2 linked regions of the Cricetulus griseus genome follow. The protein of the gene in region 1 interacts with the protein of each later gene in a pairwise test. Links are inferred from orthologs where the notes say so. Each region holds a gene or a part of one and is shown on either strand. Other genes may lie near its edges.

Evidence for each region. The genes of interacting proteins can lie anywhere in the genome.
Region 2: the proteins of Arhgef2 (region 1) and Rpp25l interact in binary tests that used the Homo sapiens proteins (3 or more experiments, as listed by UniProt). The two-hybrid records come from large-scale screens. The link is inferred for Cricetulus griseus from reciprocal best matches to the Homo sapiens genes ARHGEF2 and RPP25L.

The regions. Positions count from the first base shown.
Region 1 is NW_023276806.1:65,904,175-65,909,590, reverse strand, and holds the start of Arhgef2 (rho guanine nucleotide exchange factor 2), read left to right. Parts: upstream 1-2,196; 5' UTR 2,197-2,426; intron 2,427-5,416. UniProt on the Homo sapiens protein: Activates Rho-GTPases by promoting the exchange of GDP for GTP.
Region 2 is NC_048595.1:100,887,271-100,891,858, reverse strand, and holds Rpp25l (ribonuclease P protein subunit p25-like protein), read right to left. Parts: upstream 2,559-4,588; 5' UTR 2,522-2,558; coding exon 2,390-2,521; intron 2,374-2,389; exon of another isoform or gene 2,181-2,373; intron 1,975-2,180; coding exon 1,450-1,974; 3' UTR 1,177-1,449; downstream 1-1,176. Other genes in the region: Dctn3 (dynactin subunit 3), read right to left, coding at 4,132-4,221, 4,387-4,446. UniProt on the Homo sapiens protein: May be a component of ribonuclease P or MRP.

The sequences.
Region 1 (5,416 bases):
CTGGCTGGCTTGGAACTTACTACATGAAGGTCAAGCTAGCCTCACACTTGCCTACCCCTGCCTCCCTGGGATTGAAAGTGCTGGGATTGAAAGAATGTGCTCATGACTTGAAGCTTCTTTCTTTCTTTCTTCTTTCTTTCTTCCTTTTTCAAAAGACAGGGCCTCACTCTTAGCCCATACTAGCACAAAACTCACCGTGCAGCCCAGCTTAGCCTGGTCCCAACTCGGGGCCATCCTCCTGCCTCAGCCTCTTGAGGGCCTGTGTTCTACATCTGGTTCCAAGGTTCTAGAATTCTGCTCACTCTTCTCTTTCTTCTCAATTCAGAGCTGTCTCCGTGTACCTTCCATGAACAGATCAGCCCCAGAGGAGTCCCTCGGAGGTGAAGACCCAGAGCCTCAAGGCCACACTCAATGCTGCCTGCCTGCAGTTGAACCCAAAGAGCAGCTGGAGGAAGAGAAGGATGAGGAAGAGGAGGGGAAGAAGGGAAAACAGGAAGACAGCGATGGCTTCCACACGTCACCCCTTAGAAGGTCTGGGGCTTTCAGAGCCCATAGCCACACCAGTGATCCCTTCAAAAGGCACAGTTGGGGGCCTGGCAAGGAGTTCCAGGACCCTGTGAGCAGGTGAGTCCTCAGGGGACCTCCTGAGCCTCCCTTCAGCATCTCTAAACCTTGGAGAAAGTGTTTGAAAGGCATATCCTGGTATCTTTGCCCCTGTGGTCTCTCTGGAGAGACAAGGATCTCTGAAGAGGAGTTCAAAGCTCTCTTGGAGAATAACAGCCTGGCCTGTGATGAGCCCTGGGGAGGACAGACACAGCCTTCTAAAACAGGGCTCTCCACAGTGGTACTCACTCCTTCCCATTATCACCCAGGCAGGTGGGGTGGTGGTGGGAAGGAGTACTGACTGGCCCTTTGAGGGACGTGGGTAGTACTTCCCCAGGCTTCTGCCACCCTACTGGCTCCAGGCCGAGGCAGACCCACGTCCTGGACACAGCTGCAGCCAAAAACAGCTGTAGTTTTTTGTTTTTCTTTGTTTTTGTTTTTCGAGACAGGGTTTCTCTGTGTAGCTTTGGAGCCTATCCTGGCACTTGCTCTCTGGAGACCAGGCTGTCCTCGAACTCACAGAGATCTGCCTGCCTCTGCCTCCTGAGTGCTGGGATTAAAGGCGTGCGCCACCAATGCCTGGTCTTTTTGGGTTTTTCGAGACAGGGTTTCTATGTGGCTTTGGAGGCTATCCTGGAACTAGCTCTTATAGACCAGGCTGGTCTTGAACTCACAGAGATCCATCTGCCTCTACCTTCCGAATTCTGGGACTAAAGGCGTGAGCCACTACTGCCTGGCAACAGCTATAGTTTTATGTTTGTTAGATTGTCTGGTTTTTGTTTATTTTTGAGACAGGTTTTCTGGTAGCTCAGGCTGGCCTTAAATTCCTGATTCTCCTAACCCTCTCTCAAGTGCTGAAATGACAGGCATAGGCCACCATGCCTGACTGGGGACAGCTGCCTTTGCTCAGGACTCTAGACATGCTTAGCAGGCTTGGGGAGAGGGACCCTTGTCTTCCCTATCTCCTGGAAAATCCCTGACCACTTCCCCAAAATAGAGGAAGTAAAAAAAGAGAAGGTCAGGGGAGGGGGTTAGCCACGTGAGTCCGGTATGAGCGGTCATCTCCAGGGCCAACTACCGCCAAGGCATAGTCTCTTGACTTGGGTATGGTCTCCTTAGACAACCCCTCAGCATTCTTCAGCTCTTGGGCATGGACACAGGGGGTTTGCTGGCTGAGGGAGATGGACACAGGGGGTTTGCTGGCTGAGGGAGATGCTCCCTGAGGCTTTGTCCCAGCACTGGTTTTGTGGGAATTCAGTGAACAGCAATGCCTTCCCACAGGCCTGGCTGAAGGCAGAGTGCCGTGAATCCCTTTCCTGATGCCTGCCTACAGTTTCTCTCGATTCTAAAGTGTCACCCATCCTTCATGAACAGACATTAATTCTGTACCTCAGGTGCAGAGGGAATGAATGCTGGCCTCACCATAGCTGAGTAAGAGGAGAGGTTGCCACCAAACAACAGGGAATTCAGCTTTCCCTTCCCCCTTCCTTCCTGGAGGGCACTTTGCACCAGCAGGGGCCGCTCTTGTCTGAAGTCAACTGTGCCAGCATCAAGCTTAGTTTGAGTTTGAGCTGTGCCTATGCTAACAGGAAGGGCTGGGCTGGGGGCAAACAACAGGGCTGGGCCGAGGAACTGTTCGTTCCTGGTGCCCATCACTGACTACTGGCTACAAGGGCAGTGGTGGCAATGTGTGTTTCAGGAGGAGACTGTACTCATCGGGATGCCCAGATTCCCAGGAAGACCCCTTTCTGCAGAGCCACGAGGAACTGGACACCCTCCTGGGACCGCAGCAGCAGCAGCAGGGTGGCCAACCCTCCTACCCGGTATGACAGATAGACCCCTCAGCCAGGCCACTGCCTGGCTCGCCCGCCTCCCCTGCCAGCAGCCACTCTGTGCCTCTTCTGTTCCATCAGCTGCCGAGTCTCTCTGTGCCCGGACCTGGCTCTGGCTCCATCTGGGCCTGTCTGAATCTATCTTCTGTGACCCTCTGTCTGCTTCCCTGAGTCTGTGTGTGCTGTCCCCTGAAGCTCTTTCTGTAGCACTGTTTCTTCTTTTCCGTGGCTGTCTCTCTGTATTGATATGGGTCTCTGTCCCCTCCCCTTAGTTATAAGACCTCTGTCCCTTGGGTGACTATGACGGATTCTTTCTGTGTGCCCCACATTTCCCACAGTTGGAACTGAACTTATTATTTGTGCGAAGAGACTCAGCATCTGGTACCCTGAGAGACACAGCAGCTCTCAAATGAGATCTTAACAGGAATAGCGATTGAGAAAGAATACAGAGCCTGAGTGTAGGTGATGCTGGGTCACTGGGTTTAATCTCAGCAATAGAAGAAGGATGGAAAGGAAGGGAAGGAAAGAGGATGCAGCAATTGCTCAGCTTTCTGGATGAGCTGATGAGTGGTGTTCCAGAATATAAGGATAGAGGCCTGAGAGGACCCCCTGGCTCCACAGCTAGTGTCCTGTACTCCAGAGGGAGCCTCAAGTGGCTGAAGATCCCCTCTTGCGCCCACTCCCCAGCTGCCCAGGAGCTCTAACCTGACCCTCACGTTAGAGTGTCTAGGGGTGAAAGAAAGGGCTGGCTGGGAGAAAGAAACTATGGCCAGCCTTCCAGGCCAGTAGCAGGACCCCATCTTACTCCAGCTCTGTTTCTCTCCACCCACATCTCTCAAAGTGTCCTCTGACTCCCCTATTTTAGCTGAGAGATTATAAAGAGCAGGCTTTCACTGCTAGACCTTCCTCACTTAGCAGCTGGTGCACTTACCTCATCTTTCCCCAATCAGAAATCAAACTGCCTTATAGTTGCAGTTATTAGGAGAACGGCCTTAGGTTTCCTGACCCAGAGGCTGGCACAGGAGGTGAGTTCAGTAAAGAATGGCATTAGGCATTAAAACTGCCCGACTCAGAGGCTGGCACAGCATGGGTTCTCTTCTTGAGTCTCTTCCCTTTTAGCTCAGTCCCTCTTTCCTCTCTTCTCATCTTATCCCCTCCCTTCTTCATATTAGGGTTTCTTCTCTCTCGCTCTTTTCTGGTTGCTCCCGTATTTGTTACATCCCTCTTCTCCCCTCATCTAATCTCTAAGGCCTCCCCTTAATATTCTCCTTGCCTCAGGGCTTGAGGATCTTGTTTTTCTTTCTTGTGGCATTCCTCCAAAGCCAAAAATCTGATTCTCGGGGGGCTAGATAGGGACTGCAAACTGACATCTATAAGCAAAATCTCATTCCAAAGTTGATCTTTTCACACTGTAAAGGAATGTGTGTGTGTGTGTGTGTGTGTGTGTGTGTGTGTGTGTGTGTGTGTGTGTGTGTGTGTGTTCATGTGTATACACATGTGCGGGTTGGTTACAGGGGTGCTGGAATCTGGACTCTGGGCTACTCACTCTCTTGACTGCACAGCCACCTCTGTGGCCCTAAACTTCTAGGCTGTAACTTTGTCCTCTGCTCTACAGCTGGCTACAGCCACTAATATGCTCTTGTATTTTTCCTTTGCTTTTGGTTTTATCTCATTTTTTTTTCTTTTATGTGAGCTAGATCTAGTTATATAGCTCAGGCTAGCCCCCTCAGTCCTCCTGCCTCTGCCTTTCCTAACTCTGGGATCACAGACACACACCACACCAGGCCTTTTCTGTTTTGTTTTTGTGTCTTGAGACTATGTAGTCTTAGATGGTTTGGAACTTGGCAAGTAGACCAGGCTCACCTCCAACTTGTGACGATATTCCTGACTCTTAAGTGCAAAGATTATAGGCATGAACCACTACCTCCAACTTTGGCTTTTTTTTGTTTTGGTTTTTTGAGACAGGGTTTCTCTGTGTTGCTTTGGAGCCTGTCCTGGCACTCACTTTGTATACCAAGCTGGCTTCCAACTTACAGAGATCCACCTGCTTCTGCCTCCTGAGTGCTGGGATTAAAGGCATGCACCACCACCACCCAGCTCTTTCATCATCATCTTTTTTTTTTTTTAATGTATTTATTGGGACCAGTCTGGTCTATAAAGGCCTTCCAGAATTCTTAGGCTACCGCTGCCTTCCAGGTACTGGGATTAAGTGTGTGTGTGCCACCAGACTCAGATTAACTTTTTTCTTTGTTAAACATCTATTTGTTTTATGTGCAGGGACGGGCACACACAGGCCACTGTGTCTATATGAAAATCAGAGGACAGCTTTCAGGTGTTGGCTCTCTCCATCCATTACAAGGGCTTTTTAAAAATATATATTTATTTTATGTCTATGGGTGTTTTGCCTGCATATATATTTGTGTAGTACCTGTGTGTCTTGGTGTTTATGGAAGCCAGAAAAGGGAGTTGGATTCTCTGGGACTGGAGTTGAAGACAGTTGTGAGCTGCCATGTGGATTCTGGGAATTGAATTCAGGTCCTCTGGAAGAGCAGCCAGTGCTCTTAACCTCTGAGCCATCTCTCCAGGACCACTCCCCTCAGTTACATAGGCTTTGAGGCTCACACTGAAGCTAGCAGGCTTTATCCACTAAGTCCTCTTCCAGGCCCTCCCTTTCCTTCCAACCATGGGTAACATCATGATGAATACTTATCATTTCCCTTTTTAAAAATTTCCTTAATACAAAATGTGTATTTTACCAAAGTATAATAAGTTTTATTGAAGAATTTAAAAGCAGTGATGACATATTTTATAAAATTTTCTAGGTCTTGCTTTTTCTTGTGTGTTGTGTTTAAGACAGAGTCTTGGCTGGTGTCAATCTTGTGCTCCCCCTGCCTAAGCACCAAGAGCCAAGGTTTACAGGGGGCACCCTCTTCCTAAAATGTGCAGGGTGCACCTCCTGCCCATCAGCATAATTTATAATC
Region 2 (4,588 bases), on another chromosome or scaffold:
CCTTTCCCTCAAGCCCCTTCTCACTGAGGGACAGCTTACCTTGGAAAGCAAAGGATGTAGTGTTTAAAGTTCAGGCCACAGTTCCATGGTCCTATGGTCACTCATCCCTCCTTGAAGCCCATATCAAGTCCTGAATTTCCCCAACTTTTTCCCATCATGCCAATCTCTCCTGCCCAGACTGAGAAAAACTGCCTAACACCTTCAACTAGCTGGATCCTGCTACATGAACCCAACAGAGCCCCAGTTTTATTTGCGTGTAATTGGACATCCAGGTTACTAGACACCCTGGAGAAAATCTTGATTCACAGTGTAGCTGATCAACTCTTGAGACCACTGCCGCTTACAATTCCACTCTATTACCTGGAGCCTGCTGACTACCAATATAACCATTCTCTCTCTTCAGATACCTGCAGTAAATCTGAATCCAAGGCCAAAGTGAGGCAGAAAAAAACAGCAATGGAAAAAAGGCAAGAATGACACCCAAAGAAAGATGTGGGATTGAGGTCTACTTTCAAGATAAAAAACAGCATGTCTGTAAACTTAAGTCACTTACAACATTTATATAGCATCAGGTGCTCAGGTGGTATCTGAGTGTCAAATATGGACACCTCTTTATAAGAACTCTAATGGGGGGGGGGCGGACTGGAGATGGCTCAGCAGTTAAGAGCACTGGCTGCTGTTTCAGAGGTCCTGGGTTCAATTCTCAGCACACACATGGCAGCTCACAATTGTATGTAACTCCAGCTCCAGGAAATCTGTCATCTTCACACCAATGAACATAAATTATTAAAAAAGAATGCCAATGAGGTAAACCCTCTACACCCCATTTTACAGATGGGAGCACAAAGGTCCAGGAAGTAGCTTTATCCAAAACTACAAAGCAGTAACTTGTGAGTGGGAGAGCCAGGACTAAAACCGTGACAGGCAAAGCCCGAGTTCATGATCCCACTATTCTAAAACATATGACACAGATGGGAGAAATGCCTGACCTGGTTGAGTCCCAAGCCAGCTTAAAGCAGGTGGCAAAAAGTCATGCAGGTGACTGCTTGAAATGTATTGACACCAGATCCACCCAGCAGCGGCCTCTACCTACCCTTCTGGCCTCCAGGCCATGAGCTCCGGGGCAAGGCGGGCCTCACACCCCTCCAATCCCACTTACACACAAGCAGGCCAAACAAATGGGCATGACCTTTATTTCCCTCTCCTAGACTGATGTCAAAAAAGGCAAGTCAGATATACTGTAGACAGAGTAAGCCCTTCTCAAGCAGTCTGTAACTCAGCACTGACCCCATATGCCCTTCATTCTTCATAGCATCCCGCATCCCAGGGGGGAGGGGAGGCAGGACTCCAGTGGACTCAAGCCTTGCTGGCATGTTAAGTGTCACACAAGCCCTTCTTACAGAAGGCACAGAGAATCAGGTCTAGAGTACAGTCAGGCTCAGCAGGTCTTCAGGACCGGGTGTCCCGAGCCCTTCTTCGGGGTCTGGGACCACAGCTAGGTATGGAGCCCAGGCCTGGGGGCGCTCCCGGGGGTTGGTAGCCACATTCACTGGGGTCCAAGGGGTCCCGACTGAGTAGCACCCACACTGCAGGCACGTGACGTCGAACTGTGAGGGGGTCTAGGCCTGTGTCTGGTGAGGTTGGGACCCAGCTGTCCTCAGTTTGCAGGAAACGAAGCTTGGTGAGTTGGTGGAGGCCTGGGACCCGCCGTTTGACAATCTCTGCACAGCTGACAGCCTTCCCAGCTGCCCGGCCAGAGCCTGAGAACACCACATGCCTTGTGCTCCCCCCCTCCAAACGACCCAAAGCCAGTCCTAGCAGGTTTCGGATTTTGCTCCCATCTCGGACTCGCATTTCCAGGGTGTCAGGAGGTAGCTGGGGCATTGGTGAAGATGCTGGGAGCTCTACAGAGCCAGCCCTCCGGTAGTGTTCCATTCTGCTCCGGTGGCCTTGGTGAATCTCTCTTGCTGTGCACTGGGGGAAGCGGTCAGATGAGTGTCAGGACTATGACCAGGTCCATCCTCCATCACTCCCTCCAGGATATACCCCTCACCCCAAGGCTGGAGAGTCTTACACACGGAAAGAACCAAACTCCCCCCACTCCCCAAACCAGGCTATCCGGGATAGGGCCATGCTTCATCAGCTCAAGCTTTTCAGGGCTAGGCCAGACCCCTCCTCACCCACAACTCTCTAAAACAGGAGCCTTTCCTCACTAGGCTTCCAAGGACTCGGACAAGCTCCTCTCACTGTGTGCTTCCAGGAAACAGAATCAAGACTTGGCCCCAGGCTGCCTGGGGCACAGCCACGAACTCTCACAAAGTACTCCCTAAAGAAAGAACCGGCCCCTCCGGGCTCTCGGCCGGCTGAGTAGACTTCATCCTTAGATTACCAGGGTTGGGGGGCTTGAGCCAGGCCATTCGGGAACTCGAGAGTGGGGGCTCGCACAGACCACTGCTCGGACCAAACATGGACGGTCTGGCGGGCTCCCCGGTCGTGGGCCGCTGTCCCAGGCAGCAGACATCCCCTTTCCCCACGTCTGAGTACCCAGGCCCTGGGATTTGGCTCTTACCACTACCGCCCGTCCACGCTCGACCCAAGATGGCGCGCAGACCGGGAGCGCACGGGGCCGCGGGAGCGCGCACGCAGGGGGCGGGGCCTGAGGGAAACCCGGGACGCCGTTGGGCTCAGCTGAGCTGGTACCCGCAGCTGGCCCGCATCCCGCGGTCCGCGGTGATGCCGAAGCACGCCAGAACCCGCAGAGGGCCCTGCCCGGGAGAGGAATGGCTATCGGAGGAGTCCTGAGCATGAAGAATGCGAATCTGTGCCCTTAAACGATGGATGGTGCGCGTCACCTGTTGACTCACCGCATCGGTGAAGGAGAAGCTGAAGCATTGGTGGATACAAGCGGGCGAGACCCTTAGTTCTGAGCTTTGTTCTCATCCTGGGGCACTGGACAACCCTGGTAGTCTTCAGAAGGGACTAAGCCATAACTTGTGCACAACTCATTGGCCATAGATTGGCGTATAGGCTAGGAGGATCCGGTAGTGGGGGCAACAGATACCGTGACCTTGGGAAGGGTCTGTACCCTGCACCATCATAACGCGTCAGGCGCGGGGGTAGGAGGGTGCCCACGGAACCTAGTACAGTACTCAGAGTGAAACAGGTTCTGCAACATCTGTCCAACATGTTGATTAACCACCGAAATGGCAAGAATTGAGAAGAGATTAATTAACTTGGTAAAAACTCGTAGGAAGTTCTGGGAAAGAGCCGGGAACTATTTGTTGGAATAGTCTAGGATGACTGCTAGTTTCAGATCGTTTTGGACAAGCTGCATTTTGCGTGCCAGCAAAACTACAAATTGGTTGGTCTACAGGCAGTTGAAGGAGCCGAGGCACTCCCTCAGGCCACAAGAGGGCAGCATACACTTGGTGGAGCGCGGTGCTTAAACTGTTCATCCAAGCTTTCCCATCATCTGCTCCTCCTTCCCAGATCCTAAAATTCACTGCATCCAAGCCTCTTGGCTCCTCTTCTGGTATTCGGTAGACACAAGGCTATGCTGCCTTGGCTCTGAACGTCCCTGCTTGTTCCTCCATGATCATCCTGGCATGCTGAGCCCCACCTGGTAGGACTACCACTTTCTTGGTCTTCCCCCAAACCCTATACAGAAATGAGGTGACCCTACCTGTGCCCTCCTTACGTGCCGTAGGATCTGATATTTAGAGGGCAGTTGGAAAATGTGGGATAAATATACAATGCCCCACTGTATCAATCAGATGCAAGAGTACTACATCTTTCAGAAGCTCGACCAGGAGTAGTTCCAGGTCCCACCCTGATAGTGACAGCTCTCCCCTTCACCATTCCAGTTCTCACAGCCAAGCCCATCTTAGATCAGCAAGCCAAAACACACCTTCAGCGGTAGCTACAGTTTATTGTCATTGGAATAAATACACTGATGGGGAGTGCAAATCATGACTCTAAGGTAACCTGATCTCTGACCTCAGAGCCCCAACTGAGCAGACAGGTAGTCTTTGAATTGAATAAATACAAAGCTGTCTCTGCCTCACAAAGACAGGGTGGCACAGGGCCCTGGAGCTGGCCCCCCTTTCCCTGGCCTGGCACAGTAAGCAACTGTCATTCTTCTGCTGGCTTCACTTGCTTGGCAGCCTCTAGCTGGCAGAGTAGTTCATCCCACTGCACGAATTGCTTGGAGAGAAGCATTGTCTGGTCAGAAGTCAAGGTGACAACAGGAGTGTGAATGAGGAAGCACAGAGATTTGGCATGTGCCCAAAGCGGTGAAGGCAGGAGAGGAGAGGAGAGAATGGGATGGGCGCATTAGGGGCAGCAGAAACAGGCTTTGGGAGAGGGCCCATTAAGCACAAAAGATACAGTCTTGTTATATTCCTCCAGGAGAGCCTTGGACTCCTCACTGATCTCCATACACTGGTCCTGTAGGCCAAAGCATAGCTTAGAAAGGAGTGGAATAATGCCTCATCTCCCACTGAACTCCTTCCCTCCAAACCTAAAAAAAGATGGTGCTTAAATAACCTAGAGCGAAAGGAGAAAACTGCAAAACAGGCACTTCCAATCC